Macaca fascicularis: one gene and its partners. The protein of the gene in region 3 binds, or shares a complex with, the protein of the main gene of each other region. Links are inferred from orthologs where the notes say so. Each region holds a gene or a part of one and is shown on either strand. Other genes may lie near its edges.

What was found.
Region 1: SRRM2 (region 3) and CWC22 share a complex: the UniProt entries of both Homo sapiens proteins name them as parts of the minor spliceosome. The link is inferred for Macaca fascicularis from reciprocal best matches to the Homo sapiens genes SRRM2 and CWC22.
Region 2: SRRM2 (region 3) and GPKOW share a complex: the UniProt entries of both Homo sapiens proteins name them as parts of the minor spliceosome. The link is inferred for Macaca fascicularis from reciprocal best matches to the Homo sapiens genes SRRM2 and GPKOW.
Region 4: SRRM2 (region 3) and PPIL2 share a complex: the UniProt entries of both Homo sapiens proteins name them as parts of the minor spliceosome. The link is inferred for Macaca fascicularis from reciprocal best matches to the Homo sapiens genes SRRM2 and PPIL2.

What each region holds. Positions count from the first base shown.
Region 1 is NC_088386.1:75,564,248-75,568,498, forward strand, and holds the start of CWC22 (pre-mRNA-splicing factor CWC22 homolog), read right to left. Parts: upstream 2,820-4,251; 5' UTR 2,780-2,819; intron 1-2,779. UniProt on the Homo sapiens protein: Required for pre-mRNA splicing as component of the spliceosome. As a component of the minor spliceosome, involved in the splicing of U12-type introns in pre-mRNAs. Promotes exon-junction complex (EJC) assembly.
Region 2 is NC_088395.1:49,285,858-49,290,068, reverse strand, and holds the start of GPKOW (G-patch domain and KOW motifs-containing protein), read left to right. Parts: upstream 1-1,392; 5' UTR 1,393-1,413; coding exon 1,414-1,589; intron 1,590-2,354; coding exon 2,355-2,509; intron 2,510-2,608; coding exon 2,609-2,733; intron 2,734-4,211. UniProt on the Homo sapiens protein: RNA-binding protein involved in pre-mRNA splicing. As a component of the minor spliceosome, involved in the splicing of U12-type introns in pre-mRNAs.
Region 3 is NC_088394.1:3,609,241-3,612,810, forward strand, and holds part of SRRM2 (serine/arginine repetitive matrix protein 2), read right to left. Parts: intron 3,487-3,570; coding exon 3,454-3,486; intron 3,271-3,453; coding exon 3,220-3,270; intron 3,054-3,219; coding exon 2,961-3,053; intron 2,876-2,960; coding exon of another isoform or gene 2,833-2,875; exon of another isoform or gene 2,613-2,832; intron 2,319-2,612; coding exon 2,120-2,318; intron 1,073-2,119; coding exon 1-1,072. UniProt on the Homo sapiens protein: Required for pre-mRNA splicing as component of the spliceosome. As a component of the minor spliceosome, involved in the splicing of U12-type introns in pre-mRNAs.
Region 4 is NC_088384.1:31,463,093-31,467,342, forward strand, and holds the start of PPIL2 (RING-type E3 ubiquitin-protein ligase PPIL2), read right to left. Parts: upstream 2,820-4,250; 5' UTR 2,726-2,819; coding exon 2,694-2,725; intron 1-2,693. UniProt on the Homo sapiens protein: Has a ubiquitin-protein ligase activity acting as an E3 ubiquitin protein ligase or as an ubiquitin-ubiquitin ligase promoting elongation of ubiquitin chains on substrates.

The DNA.
Region 1 (4,251 bases), on a different chromosome or scaffold from region 3:
CATGGGCATTTGAAATACAAAATGTGTCACCGTGCTGTCTTCTGGGTGGTCTCAGGTACAAGCCACTGTAGGTCATTCAACAATGTTCAATCATGGGGAAGGAGAGTTAACTTCTTTTCTTTTTCTTCTTCTTTTTCTTGAGACAGAGGCTCACTTTATCACCCAAGCTGGAGTGCAGTGGAGTGATCTCGGCTCACCGCAACCTCCGCCTCCAGGTTCAAGTGATTCTCCTGCCTCAGCCACCCGAGTAGCTGGGGCTACAAATGCACAGCACCACACCCTGCTACATATTTTTGTATTTTTAGTAGAGACAGGGTTTCACCATGTTGGCCAGGCTGGTCTCGAACTGCTGATCTCAAGTGATCCGCCTGCCGTGGCCTCCCAAAGTGCTGGGAATGCAGGCATGAGCCATCGCGCCCCAACAGAAGAATTAACTTCTAAAAATTCAACAGCTGGGAAAGCTAATAGAGCTAAGAAAGCTCGCTTAGAAAAACCAGGTAGTCTAGGAAGTGTCAGAACTCCAAAAAGTGATTGGAGGTAATCTATCCAAAGCAGGGAAGGATGTGGTGGCATAATAATAAATACTGGCTGGCCATGGATCAAGTACTTTGGAGCAAGGAGGGAAACAAACCTGATTCTGAGGACAGGGGGAGGATGAACCATAGCATGCCCCTAAAAGATGGGCTAGAGCAGAAGTTTTCAAACTAACTGGCATGAGAATCACTCGAACGCTTTGGCGCAAAAAAACCCAAAAAAAAAAACAAAACTGTTGGGCCTGCATTTCTACGTTTCTGATTCAACAGAACTGGGTGAAGCCCAGTAATTTACATTGCTAATAAGCTTCAAAGAGATGTTGCTGATTCAGGAGACCACATTTTTGGAACCACTAGACCAGGGTATTAGATCAAAGTTCTTGGCCTTTAACTTATAACCAAGACGGTCTCAGAGCCCCAGTCAATTGAGTTGGGTAAGACTCCATAAAAGTGGCATGGACACTTAAAACTAGAAGGGCACTGGCCGAGCGCAGCGGCTCACCCTGTAATCCCAGCACTTTGGGAGGCTGAGGTGGGTGGATCACGAGGTCAGGAGATAGACACCATCCTGGCTAACATGGTGAAACCCCGTCTCTACTAAAAATAAAAAAAATTAGCAGGGCGTAGTGGCTGGCGCCTGTAGTCCCAGCTACTCGGGAGGCTGAGGCAGGAGAATGGCGTGAACTCGAAAGGCGGAGCTTGCAGCGAGCCAAGATCCGCCACTGCACTCCAGCCTGGGCGACAGAGTGAGACTCCGTCTCAAAAAAAAAAAAAACCTGGAAGGACACTTAAAGGTGGAAAGGCAACACTCAGACCCAGAGGGCAAGAACTGAGGCACAGACAGAACTCATCAACTGTATCATAGTAGCAATTTACAATAATACAAAGCTAACACTGTATATCAGGCACTGTGCTCAGTGCCTCATCTGCATTATTTTCTTTATACTCAAAAAAAGACAACACAGTGAGGCAGGTATTGTATTATTACCTACATGTTTTCAGATGATGAAGCTGACTATATATAATAGAGACTTTAACTTGCTCCAAGTGACAGACCTAATAATAGCTAAATAAAACTGAAATCTTTGGTCTACTAGTCCATCACCCAGGACCAACAAAAGTAGCTTTCCTCAACCTACTGATAAGGCCTGTAACAAGGCTTCTCCTCTCCTGGTCAAAACCACACTTTTAATGTCAATTTTAAATCTGCCCTTGCATAGTAGGATAATCTGTGTTAACTCCTGAATTCACAAGCAATCCTACAACAAGATAAGTCTAAATACGGATAAGAGGTAGGTTAACTGATCTGCTGAGGACCCAATTTGTTTGTTTATCTGCTATTTCGAGTCTCTGCACATCCAAAAATGCAAAGGAAACTCTTACCTAATTCTTGCATCTAGAATAGCCTTTCTCCAAATCCTGCCTTCTCCAATTACCTCAAAAGAATTGTTAGGATTAAGTGGAAATAGGTATGGTAGTTTTTGCAGTTAAACTCAGTGAAATTAACGATTATATTTCCGTTCTATAATGCTGTGTTACAGGACCCAAAGCTCCTTAGAGAGGTGGAGTCTGGACACCCAAGTTTAGCAGTTATTACCTCATTGGAGATAGTTCAAGTTATGTAAGGATCAAGAATGACAGGTGAAGAGGACACAAGAGAAGCGAAGCGTCTTCAAAACTAAACTCTAGAAACTATCAGTATTTACAGGGCAAATAAATGAAAAAGAAACCGCTAATGAAACGTAAAACAAATAGCCAAAGGGATATAACGCCGGAAAGAGGCATAAGAGTGCAAGTACTTCAACTAACTTTTAATCAACTAGAGCTCATTAATCCCACTCCCCAGGCACTGGGAAAGGGGCTTTGGCAAGCCCAATGGACTCCAGAGGCTCTAAGTATAAAACACACCGCACACGAAACAACAGAGCACCAGCGTTGGTGCAGGACTTCAGACAGCTGCAGGAACCTCACAAGGAAGGTCAGCCGGTCCGCTCAGGCAGTCAGTCAGTTCACCGCAGCCCATTCGCTCCCCACCCGCTTGGACTCCTCGGACCCAGCCACTCTCACACCCCTCTCGCGGGCCCGAGCGTGGCGGGAAGACCCACGCACACTCCAATGCCGCTCACAGCCGTATCAGTGAGCCCGCACCCACTCCTCAGGGTCTTTCACTTCCCACCCGACCCGACAACCCGCCACCCCCGCTCCGCTTCGGTGCCTACGGGGACTCCGCGGAGTTCGATAATTACCTAAAGCTGCACCGCGCCGCCATTACACCGGATGTACGTCACTTCCTCTTCCCGAGCACCGACAGTAGGAACAAGGCAGATACTGAAATACATAAAAACTTGACGCTCAATTGGCTTGACGCGTTATCCTTTTAATTTATTTCAGATACCATATCATAATGCCAGAGTCAAAGCAGTCGATCCAGGCACACTGTATTCTTATCAAAATGGCGACTAAAAAGAAGTTGGCATGAACTACAAAGTCCGAAATCCAGCACCTGTGCTGACGGAAATGACGAAAGCATAATTGTAGTTTAGCGGTGAAATGGCGCGGTGTACGATGGGAATTGTAGTTCATACAGATGCGCGCCAGCGAGTTAACATCCACGCTGCTGACTGGCAGCCTAGCAGTGTTTAGGGTCTAGGCAAATTTACTTTAATCTAAAAGTATTTCACTGCATTTTGGGAATTTTTTTTTTTTTTTAGTAGTCAGTTGTCACTTTCCTTGAAAATCTTAAGTGAGAGATTTTCTTGAGACTTTTTTTTATAAGAGTTTGACCAAGAGTCAAGTGCCTAATAAATTCCAAGACATCCAAGCCAAGAGAATGGGAGAATATTAGATCATAAATAGAGTGAAATAATGAGGAAAAAATAATTCTGTAGAGACTATGTTGCCTGTCTTTTAAGGTAAGGTACCAACTGGTATGACCTGAGAATAAGGAGATTGCCTGGCTGAGTAGGAAGTAGCAGTTTGTACAGCATGCAGAACTAGGGCATCAAACAAATTGTTTCTTTAAACTTCACTTTTCACTAGTAACAAAACGTAAAAGTTCAACTACTTACTATTTTGGAAACTCTCTTTCTAAAACAAGAATATCTTTATGTTATCAAATCTTTCATAAACCAGGCCTGATTTCTCCACACACTTCTCTATTACAGTTTTAGGGTGCTGTGCTTCCACTCCTTTCTGGAGGCAAAGTGTGAGAATTAAGAATAAAAACACTGCAGTTGGACTACTTACGTTTGAATCTTGAGTCCTTTGATTATTTATGGATGATTGGGGCAAGTAACTTCACATTCTGTGGCCGTTTCCTGATCTGTTAAATGGAAATACTAGTAGTACCCATTCATGCAGTAGTTGTAAGAATTGAATTAGTTGATTCACAAGATACGTTTAAGATAATTGCTAGTATACAATAGTGTTATCTATTTTATTTCATATTTAAGATATTTGGCCATTGTTGATGGTGCACTTTGGTGTACCAATACAGGGCACAGGAGATGGATCTGGAGATGAACATTTGTATTTATATATTTAAAAACCCACAATACTATCTGTGATGGTTAATTCTGAATATCAACTTGATTGGATTGAAGGATGCAAAGTATTGATCCTGGGTGTGTCTGTGAGGGTGTTGCCAAACTGTTGACAACTGTTTGTTGTCAAACAGTTGAGTCAGTGGACTGGGGAAGACAGACCCACCCTCAATCTG
Region 2 (4,211 bases), on a different chromosome or scaffold from region 3:
TTCCTTCCTTCCTTCCTTCCTTCCTTCCTTCCTTCCTTCCTTCCTTCCTTCCTTCCTTCCTTCCTTCCTTCCTTCCTTCCTTCCTTCCTTCCTTCCTTCCTTCCTTCCTTCCTTCCTTCCTTCCTTCCTTCCTTCCTTCCTTCCTTCCTTCCTTCCTTCCTTCTTTCTTCTTTCTTTCTTTCTTTCTTTCTTTCTTTCTTTTTCTTTTTTAAGACAGAGTCTCGCTCTGTCGCCCAGGTTGGAGTGCAGTGGCGGGATCTCGGCTTACTGCAAACTCTGCCTCCCGGGTTCAAGCAATCCTCCTGTCTCAGCCTCCTGAGTAGCTGGGACTACAGGTGCCACCACCAGCCCGGCTAATTTTTGTATTTTTAGTAGAGACAGGGTTTCACCATATGAGTCAGGCTGGTCTCAAAGTCCTGACCTCAGGTGATCCACCAGCCTAGGCCTCCCAAAATGCTAGGATTACAGGCATGAGCTACCACGCCTGGCCAGTAGGCACTTTATGTCTATTATTTACTATTGTAGACAACTGACACTCCTTCCCCCGCCCCCGACCCTGACTTTTTCTTTTTTAGAGACGGGGTATCGCTCTGTCACCCATGCTGGAATGCAGTGGCGCAATAAGAGCTAAGTGCATCCTCGAACTCCTGGGCCTCAGGCCATCCTCCTGCCTCAGCCTGTGGGCTAAATGAAACTACAGGTGCACGCCACCACACCTGGCTGATTATTTCTAAATGATTTACTTCATCAACACTTCCCACATGAGTAGGGCACACAGTAGGCGCTCCATAAATACTTGTCAAACGCCTACACGAAGGAATCAATGCCTGGCAAGAATGAATCCACCTTCCACCATGCCTACCTCGCTAAAAACTACATTTCCGGCCGGGCGTGGTGGCTTACGCCTGTAGTCCCAGCACTGTGGGAGGCCGAGGCAGGCGGATCACGAGGTCAGGAGATGGAGACTATCCTGGCTAACACGGTGAAACCCGTCTCTACTAAAAATACAAAAATTAGCCGGGCGTGGTGGCGCATGCCTGTAGCCTCAGCTACTCGGGAGGCTGCAGCAGGAGAAGCGCTTGAACCCGGGAGGCAGAGGTTGCAGTGAGCCGAGATCACACCACTGCACTCCAGCCTGGGCAACAGAGCAAGACTCCATCTTTAAAAAAAAAAAAGAAACAAAAACAAAACAAAACAAAAAAAACTACATTTCCCTGTGCACTTGGCGCGACGCACTCCCACGACGTTTGAAAGAGCGACAATTACTTCCCACGGCCCCTTACCGCCCCCTCCCGCCGGTGCCACAGTGGTTGATGGGAAGGTAGTTTTTACGCACTTTGGCCGGCCCCTAGCCATCTGAACCCAAACTAAATTTCCCAGCAAGCAGCGCGCAGGCCTGGGAAAAGGGGCAAGATGGCTGACTCCGAAGAGGGTGTTTTGCCGCTGACGGCTGCTTCCACTGCCCCAATTTCATTCGGCTTCACTCGCACGTCCGCACGGAGGCGGCTGGCCGACTCGGGAGACGGCGCGAGGCCATCTCCGGAGGAGAAGGATTTCTTGAAAACCGTGGAAGGGAGGGAGCTGCAGAGGTGACGCGCCGGGTCTTTCACACCTTGGAAATCGCTGCGGTGGGCGTAAGCGGGAGGGAGGAATCTCACTCAGTCGTTTGTCTTGGTGACAGTGACCTGTTAAGCCTGAAGCACAGCCTGAGTAAATTCGTGGAGGCCAGAAGGCTGGAGTTTATAAGAGGGGTGGGGAAATTGGGCCTGATAGCCGTGGGAATTGCGAAGAGAGGATGTATCACTGAGAAGAAGTGTCTTTAGGACTTGAGGACACTGAGGTGTGTGCGTTTTGGGAGAAGGAAAGAATGAGAAAATGACAGGACCTGCTAGTGTCTCAGCTGAAGTGGTGGGGCTTCTCTGATATGGGGAACGGGATGGAGCGGCAGATTCAGGTTGATGGAGGCCACCATCAGCTTAATGAGGAGAGGAGAGTCTGAGGGAGGGATTTCCAGAAGAGAATCAGGCATCTGGGAAGCTGTTTGGGAACCTGGAGCTAGGGAGGGTCTAGGCTGAAGATAGTGATTTGTGGGCCATTGTGGAAGCCGGTCTTGAGTTAAACAGAGAGTCCAGGACTTATTTCTCGAAGGCACTGACATTTACGAGTTGGGGGCACTGGGGGGGATAATCCAAAGAATGCACGATCAGAGAGGTACAGGAGATCCAGACATGGAGTAGAGAAGGCATGGTCTGTGGGGCTGGGGTGAGTTTGGCTCTCGTGTTTTCTCTGAATAAAGGAGTGTGACCCACTGACACTGCCATTCTCCCAACCCCACCCCTCTGTGTCCACATCAGTGTGAAGCCCCAGGAAGCCCCCAAGGAACTCGTCATCCCTTTGATCCAGAATGGCCATCGCAGGCAGTCACCAGCCCGGCCCCCTGGGCCATCCACAGATACTGAGGCCTTGGCAGATGGGGTGCTGTCCCAGGCTGTGAAGGAGCTCATTGAGGGTGAGTGATGCCCCTTTACCCTTCCCCAGTGAAGGAAGAAGATGAAGAAGGTGGAAGGATAGAGTGGGACTTCATTGCTCCCTCCTATTCTTCCCTTAGAATCCAAGAAGTCTCTGGAAGAGAGAGAGAATGCGGGTGTCGACCCCACGCTCGCTATCCCCATGATCCAGAAAGGATGCACCCCCAGCGGGGAAGGGGCAGACAGCGAACCCCGGGCAGAGACAGTGAGCTGGCCCCTTGTCCCCCTCCTGCCCCAGCCTTTCTTTGCCCTGTCTGCTAGGCTTTGTCCCTGCACATAGCAGGGAAAGTCTGTGTGCTAGAGGCCCGCCACCTGTCCTTTCTCCTGTCATCCTTTTTGGAAGCATTACCAAATGAATCTGGATATCTGGATGCTAAAAACGTACTTGAATCCTAGGATTATCTGAATGAGGTGTGCAGCAAAGGGAACAGGAAATGTAAAGGCCCTGAAGGTAGACACTGCCTAGAGTGTTTGCGGAACACCAAAGAGACTAGTGTGACTGAAGTGGAATGAGTGAGGGGAAGGGATAGTAGACGAAGTCAGAAAGGAGATGGGGGTGCTAGACAAGGCAGGGCCTTGTAGGCCATTGTGAGGACTTTGGCTTTTACTCTGAGTGGGATGAGAGCCTAGGCAAGCCCTGAGCATAGATGAAATATGATTTATGATTTGACAGCATCCCTCTGGCTGCTGTGAACAGACTCATTAGTGAAGGTGGAAGCAAGGGGATGAGTAGTCCAGGCTAGAGATGCTGGGGACTTAGACCAGAGTGGTCTGGAAGGATAAGTAGGGTTTAGTGAGAGGGAAGAACAGAGTGAGTGTTCCTGTTGGTAGTAACAGCCCAAGCAATGGCATAGTGGCAGAAAATCGATGTGGTGTGTGTCCATCAGTGAGGCAACATGTGGTGTGTCTGGAGTGAATGGGAAGGAGTGATGATGGAAGGTGACGAGGAGATGTGAGAGGCGTGTCTACAGGAGTAACCAAGTCTGTCTTTCATACCCACAGACCTGACTTTTCACCTCTTCTTTCATAAATTTCTTGCATTGCTTCTTTGGAGTCTAGTTCTCCTACAGCCCCAGAACACTCTCTTTCAACTGAACTGTTCTCTTCAGCCTTCAGATGTGCTCTGATTTCCTTCAACTTTTTTTTGTTTGTTTGTTTTTTGTTTTTTGAGACAGAGTCTTGCCCTGTGGCCCAGGCTAGAGTGAAGTGGTACGATCTCGGCTCACTGCAACCTCCCGCTCCCGGGATCAAGCGATTCTCCTGCCTTAGCCTCCCAAGTAGCTGGGATTACAGACACGTGTCACTACCGCCTGGCTAGTTTTTGTATTTTTAGTAGAAACGAGGTTTCGCCACGTTGGTCAGGCTGGTCTTGAACTCCTGACTTCAGGTGATCTACCCACCTTGGCCTCCCAGAGTGCTGGGATTACAGGCATGATCCACTGTGCCCAGCTCCTTCATCTTTAAAGAAAAAAAAGATCCTCACTTCCCTCTTCATCCTTTCATCCTGTTCCAGCTTTAACCTCATTCCTCTAATTTTTCCCTCTATAAACCTCCTCCTGCAGCTTTATACATATCAGGTGACCAAAAATTCCATCCATCCTTCCTCTCACTCAGCATAAAAACCTTGGAGTCGGCCGAGCCTGTAATCCCAACACTTTGGGAGGCTGAGGTGGGCGGATCACC
Region 3 (3,570 bases):
ATCTTCCTCGTCTTGGTGTCCTAGATCGAGACCTCCCTCTCCTGGCTGGTGTTCTGGAGCGTGAGCGACCACTGCGTCTAGCTGGGGTTCTAGAGCGTGAGCGGCCACGTCTGGCTGGGGTTCTGGAGCGTGAGCGGCCACGTCTAGCTGGGGTTCTGGAGCGTGACCTGCCACTTCTCCTGGCTGGTGATCTACTACGAGACCTCCGTCGTACTGGCGATCGGGTCCTAGATCTGCGCCTAGCAGGTGTTCTAGACCGAGACCTGCCCCTCCGGGCTGGTGTTCTAGACCGAGACCTACGCCTGGTAGGTGTTCTGGATCGTGATCTCCGCCTGGCAGGTGTTCTAGAGCGTGACCTGCCCCGCCGGGCTGGTGTTCTAGAACGAGATCTGCCCCGAGTGGCTGGGGATCTAGAGTGGGACCTCCCTCGCCTTGCTGACCTAGACCTGCCTCTTCTCTGGGTATTTCTGCTCCTAGACCAGCCTGGTCGCTGAGGAGACCTAGAGCGGCCACGTCGCTGGGGGCTTCTAGATCTTCCCCACCTCTGTGCAGACCTGGACCTACGCCACTGGGGAGATCGGGATCGAGAATGACCTCTCTTTGTAGGGGTTCGAGACCGAGATCGCCCTCTCTTAGCGGTGGCAGGGCTACGGGACCTCCCCGTCCTACGGGAAGGGGTATGAGAATGTGATTTATCCCGTTTTGCTCGGCCATGTGAGCGATTCTTGGATGTGGGAGAAGAAGAAATCTCTCGGTGGGACCCCGGAGCTGGAGCAGGTTTAGGACTTTCTGGGGAAGAGCTGGCATGCCGAGAAACTTTGGTAGGTTGAGGGGATGGTGGGCTGCTCTCTGAGGAAGAAGACTGGGGAAGTTTCTCAGGAGACTTAGGTGGTGAACGGCCCCGAGTGGGAGAGGCCTCAGATGGGGGGTTCACTGGCTCTTGGCTTAAGGGGGTTGTTGCAAGTGGTTGTGGGGAGCCGCCATGTCGCTCAGCAAGGAGCGGAGTGGGAGCAGGTGGTTCTGGGCCTGTGCTGCTCCTTTCCGGAGAGGGGCTAGGTCGAGCTGCAGATTTCTAAGAGTGAAAGAGAGAGTAGGGATAGGGATTCATAAACGCCAAGACTTCACATCACTCCTAAGATCCCAACACCCTTTCCAATAACTTTTCTTTTACACATCCCCTGACCACAAGCAATCACTTTCATTCAATAACAAGGAATTATATAAAGAACAGTGGGGAAAACATATGAAGATATGGATAGTCTGAGAATCTTAAAACTGAAACACTAAACGCAAATAACTAACACACTACTACATTTAACAACAAATACCACTACGAAATGTTATCAAAGCGGAAAAAACTATCTTTAAATGGAAAAATAAGCAGTTTCCTAAAGCGAATGGCAACTTCACCTTTTAAGAATAACTCTATTAAAGGAAAAGAAACAACATGAATAAAGATGTGAGAACATGATTTGTTTGAAGAGTAGAAAAGCAGACCAGGATGGAAAGAGTACAGGAAATGAGAAAAAGACCAAATTATTAAAAGCCTTAAATGTAATTCAAAAGCAATAAGGAAGCAGTTAAGTTTCTGAGGTCAACCAACTTGTAATTTGGAAAGGTAATCCTGGATGACATGGAAAATTGATGACAGAGGCCAAGAATTTACACTGTAATCACTAAAGCAAGAGGAAATGATTAACGCTTAAAATTAGAAAAGAAAACTACTGAAGACTATTCCAGTGTTTCATTCAAACTATTGGTGGCACCCCAATGGATTAAACAGTTTTAGTGAGACACAACGAGCATTTAATGAAAAAAGAAAAGAAAAGAAACACGGCGTACACAGATAAAATACAACTTTTGTTCCAGTTCTGTGTATAAACAAGATACAATATAAAACCTATTAGTATCCAGTGAGATTTGATTCTAAAGGGTTCACAATTCAGTCTAGTAACAACACTACAAGTTCTGCAGATACAGTAAGAAAACTGGGAGATCAATGCAGAAAAAAATAACCGAATTTATTTTAGTAAGTTACTACCTCTCCCTTTCATGTCACAAGTTTATCCTAAATCTATACACTTGCAATCCAATGAACATCACCAACTCAGGAACATACCTCCTTCTTGTCTTTATCTTTGTCTTCATAAGGGCTGCTAGGCTGTTTTGTAGCAGGCTCCGGGCTACTAGGCCGTTGTGTGTTGGTAGTACCTGGTTCACTGAAAGGTGCATCTCCCTCCCCTCGTCGCCCTGAAGCAGGGGAAGGACTTCGCCCAGTCAAGGCAGTTGTATGAGTTTTAGCTGCAGCACTTCGAGACCTGCAGGAGTTAATTGAGGATGGGGGAGAGGAAGGAAATCAGCTCAAAGGGAGAACAGGAAACCCCCTCCCCAACTCCCATCCACCTTTTCCAACTGTACAACCCTCTTCCAAAAAGCCTGCTTAGTCGCATAACTCAAATCATTCACTGAAATGCAAGTACAGTCCACTTTGGTTCTTCTCTTCCCAACACAATCCCAAACAGTGTTCTCCCTCTACCCCTTCACTCACCTCCCCCAAACATCCCGAAACCATCCACCCAGCCCACTCCCTACCCGCTTCATTCACAACTCACCTCTGAGCCCACCTCCTTCAGGAAGCCTTCCCCGATTAAGGAAGCCAGGGTAAGGATTCCTTCCTCCCCCAGACACCACGAACAAACCACCACCCCCCCTATTCTGGCAGTCCATATACATCAGAACGAAACAAAAAATAACAAATAAACAAAAACAAAAAAAAAAAGAGAAGGGGAAATGTATATGTCTGTCCATCCTGTTGCTTTAGCCTGTCAGCTCCTAGAGGGCAGGGACCGTGTCTTCCGAATGGTCTGTGCAGCGCCTAGCACACCGTGGGCGCTCAATAAATATTAAATTAATTAACCCATCATTCCCTCTCCCTCCCTTCCTCCTGGACTACCCCTTACCGACTGCGGGAAGTATCAGAGGAGGAAGCAGAGTCAGCAGAAGTTGAACGGTGGGCCCGGCGGCTCTTGGGGGCTGGTGTTGTACTTCGAGACCTGAAGGAAGACCACCGCCACAGCTCAGGGTACTGCTGTACCTGCCCTGGATTTTCCTCACCTACCCCTCAACCTTTTACCAGTTAGGGACATAACTGACTCAACCCCTTCCCACTAAGGTGGTGTTCACTTACTTTCTAAGCAAATTCCCCACAAATTCACTCACCGCTTTCGCTTTTTGTCCTTAGATTTACGTTTGCTCTTTGGAGTGGGAGACCTGAGAAATAAGGAAAGATTGTTAAAAGTAACTTTTTTAAAAAAGGAAATAAAACCAAAAGTGAAATGTAAAGAGTTAGGGAATGTTAACAGGAGAAAGATCAAGGTATTGAGCTTCACTTCAAGAAAAAGAAATCACCACTCTACATGCCACTGTGCCCCCAATGAGTTAAAGAGCTCTTACCTATGCTTACGCTTCTTGGACTCGGATTCTGACCTGTCGGAAAAAAGAGAAGAAAATACATAAAAAACACCTCTGCCTGAATTCAGCAAGCCTTCTCCAATCACTCAAGTACTCACA
Region 4 (4,250 bases), on a different chromosome or scaffold from region 3:
ACTTTGGGAGGCCGAGGCTGGTGGATCATGAGGTCAGGAGATCGTGACCATCCTGGATAACACGGTGAAACCCCATCTCTACTAAAAATACAAAAAATTAGCTGGGTGTGGCGGTGGGCACCTGTAGTCCCAGCTACTCGGGAGGCTGAGGCAGGAGAATGGCGTGAACCCGGGAGGCAGAGCTTGCACTGAGCCGAGATCGCACCACTGCACTCCAGTCTGGGCAACAGAACAAGACTCCATCTCAAAAAAAAAAAAAAAAAAATTGCTTATCTGAACGCCAGTGCTTGTTTAGCTGATAGAGAAATAAAAAAACCCTGTGGCAGTTAGGATATAGTTTATTCTTTAGGCGTAGGGGTGGGTAACTTAACCAGGGAAGTTGTCTGGCATGACTGTAGGTTCTATTTATAATTTGGTATCTTATTGCCACAAAGAGTCTGTTTCGTCAATCTTATTTCTATTTCTTTATTTTTATTAAAAATTAGCCACCATGCTCAGCTAATTTTTTTTTTTTTTTGTATTTTTAGTAGAGACGGGGTTTCACCATGTTAACCAGGATGGTCTCGATCTCCTGACCTCATGATCCACCACCTCAGCCTCCCAAAGTGCTGGGATTACAGGTGCGAGCCACCGCGCCGGGCCCCTTATGATCTCTATTTCAACGTTAATGCCAGTCAGTTGTTGTGTCTGGGCCACAAAAGGGAGGAAGATATAACAAGGTACAGCTGACCTCCATCGCATCATGGCCAGGAACTCAGTTTTAAGGTTTTCCTGGAGTTCTCTTAGGCACAAGGGTGTCTGCTCAGCCAGTAAGGGGATTTAGGATTTTATTTTTAGCTTACAGGGAGGAGCAGGCTCAGGAGCTGAAAATCAAGAGTTCTGTTTAAGGCATATTAAATTTGAGGGCACGGTGGCTCACGCCTGTAATCCCAGCACTTTGAGAGGCAGAGGCGGGTGGATCACCCGAGGTCAGGAGTTCGATACCAGCCTGGCCAACATGGTGAAACCTATCTCTACTAAAAATACAAAAATTAGCCGGGCATGGTGGCAGGTGCCTGTAATCTCAGCTACTGGGGAGGCGGAGGTGGGAGAATCGCTTGAATCTGGGAAGTAGAGGTTGCAGTGAGCCAAGATCGCACCATTGCACTCCAGCCTGGGCAACACAGCAAGACTCCATCTCAAAAAAAAAAAATTGAGATGTTTATCAGTCCTCCAGTGGAGATATCAAGTAAGCCACTAACTACACAAGACTGGGGAAAGCAGCTTATAGATGACTGGGAAATTATATCACTCACAGAGAATGTTTATGGAAAAGAAACCTATGAGATCTGAGAAAAGGGAGGAGGGTCCAGAAAGGAGGCTGGGAAAAGAGAGGCCGCTGAAGTCGATGGAAAACAAAGAGCACAGGAAATCTCAGATACCAAAGGAAGGCTTCAGAAGGAGGGAGTGGTTAACAGTGTGACATACTGTTGAGAACCCCAACAAAATGAGGACTGAGGCTGCCCTGGAGCGGTGGCTCGCCTATAATCCCAGTACTTTGGGAGGCCAAGGCGGGCGGATCACCTGAGATCGGAGTTCGAGACCAGCCTGACCAACATGGAGAAACCCCCTTCTCTACTAAAAATACAAAATTAGCCGGGCCTGGGGGCACATGCCTGTAATCCCAGCTATTCGGGAGGCTGAAGCAGGAGAATCCCTTGAACCTGGGAAGCGGGGGTTGCGAAAAGCCGAGATCGCACCACTGCACTCCCCAGCATGGGCAACAAGAGCGAAACTCCGTCTCAAAAAAAACACGAGGACTGAGGATTGAATACTAGAGTTAGCAACAAGAAGTCGCTGGCAACCTGACAAGGGGCAGTTCTGGGATCGAAATTCTGACTTGAGTGGTTTCAAGAGACTCAGAAAACAGCATGAAGCCACGGGTCTCTAACTTGTTCTGAAATCACGGCGGCAGCAGGAGGGGAACGCGGGGCACGGGGCATAGGCGGATTTTTTTGTTTTATTTTATTTATTATTTTTGAGACAGAGTCTGGCTCTGTCGCCCAGGCTGGAGTGCAGTGACACGATCTCGGCTCTCGGCAATCTCCGCCTCCCGGGTTCAAGCGATTCTCCTGCCTCAGCCTCCCGAGTAGCTAGGATTACAGGCGCCCGCCACCACGCCCCGCTAATTTTTGTGTTTTGGGTAGAGACGGGGTTTCATGATGGTGGCCAGGCTGGTCTTGAACTCCTGACCTCAGGTGATCCGCCCGCCTCAGCCTCCCAAAGTGCTGGGATTACAGGTGAGCCACCGCGCCCGGCCTGGTTTGCTTTAAATAGGAAGGCTCTGCAGCACGTGTGCAGGCTGACAGGCATGAACCAGAACACAGCCAGACGCGAAGTACGGAAGAGGGAGAGATTACAGGGGCAAAGCTCGCGAGCAGACGGGGCACGGTCCGGGCAGAACTAGAGTAAAGGAAGACCGGGCTGCGCTCGAGCCCGCAGCTGACGTCTTCGGAGCCGCGGCCCCCTGGGAGAGCGCGGCGGCCCGAGGGTCATTACCCTGACTGGAGAGACGGCGGCAGCTTCCGGGAGGAAGTGACTTTTGGGCTGGGCTCTGGGGACCAGCTGAGAGGGAAGGCGAGCGGCGAGCAGGGCGGGACAGGCGGTTTACTGAGGCAGAGCGGAGCGCCACTCCCGACTGCGGCTCAACTTACATCTTGTCCTTCTGGTGCTGTCGCTTCCCCATGGCGGCGCGGCGGCGGCGGCAACTACCTAGCACGAAAAAGCAACCGCTGACCACTCAGACCATGGAGCCACTGCCGAGTTTCGTGACCACTTCCGGGTTCCGCGGCTCGCCCCGGAAACAGGCGCTTGGCGGGCTGGGAATTGTGGTTCGCTAGCGCCAGGTGCGCATGCTCGGAAGGATCGCCTGCCCAGTATGGGGTCCTAGCTAGGTGTGTTGTGTCTCGCTGGCGCCTTCTCGGGGCAGAGCTCCCTCAGCCTCGAAGCCCCATCTTCTCGAAGGGTCTCTCCCGACCGCCTCGCCTACCCCCCTCAGCCACGGCTCAGGGCCATTCCCATACTGGGTTCTCAGGTCTTATTTTATTTTCGAGACAGGATCTCGCTCTGTCGCCCAGGTTGGAGTGCAGTGGCGCAATCACAGCTCACTACAGCCTCGACCTCCCAGGCTCAAGCGATTCTCCCACCTCAGCCTCCCGAGTAGCTACGGGCACGCGCCACCACACCCGGCTAATATGTTAATTTTTTGTAGAGACAAGCTCTTACTATTTTGCCCAGGCTGGTCTGGAGCTCTTGAGCTCAAGCAGTCCTCCCGCCTTGGCCTCCCAAAGTGCTGGGATTACAGGCCTGAGCCTCCGCGCCCGGCCAGCGCTCAGGTCTTTTTCAGTGTCCTCCTAGAGCTTCAAGTCTCATGAGCCTCCACCCCATCCTTTCCCGCCTCCGTGGCCGACTCCTTCAAAGCCATGTACCACCCTCGTTCTACTCGCTCACTTCTCATTCTCTCTGCATATTCCGTCCGCACCGCCTCCAGGCCCCTTGGAGGCCCAGCAGCAGGTGGCCATCAAGCCTAGAGGTCCAAAACCCTGCCTGATCCCTTCCTTCTCTTCTGCCAGACTCTTGCCTTGGGTCAGAACAGTACCTTGGGCCCCCAACTACACTCAGGCCTGGGGTAATCTTGCCTAGGCTCCTAATTTTAAACGCCATTTATATCCCATGACTCCCAATACTAAGTCACAAGTACTCCAGGTTCCTGATCTCCACTTGGGTAGCCGCTGATCTCAAATTTAACATGTGTGGACGGGCGTGGTGGCTCACACCTGTAATCCTGGCACTTGGAGAGGCTGAGGCAAGCGGATCACTTGAGGTCAGGAGTTCAAGACTAGCCTGGCCAACATTGCAAAACCCTGTCTCTACTAAAAATACAAAAATTAGCCGGGTGTGGTGGCGGGTGCCTGTAGTTCCAGCTACTCAGGAGGTTGAGGCAGTGAGAATCACTTGAACCCAGGAGGCAGAGGTTGCAGTGAGCCAAGATTGTGCCATTGTACTCCAGCCTGGGGTGACAGAGCAAGACTCTGTCTCAAAGAAAAAAAAAAACTGGAAACAAATGTCTATGAGAACACAGCTAAACGACCCCTGGTACAGCCATGCAGTGGACTATTTTGGAACTGCTTAAAGGAATGAAGTAGATATCCCAAGAAGTAAAGACATCTCAGTGTTTTATTTATGGAAAAAAGCAAGTTGCTGAGAAGAAC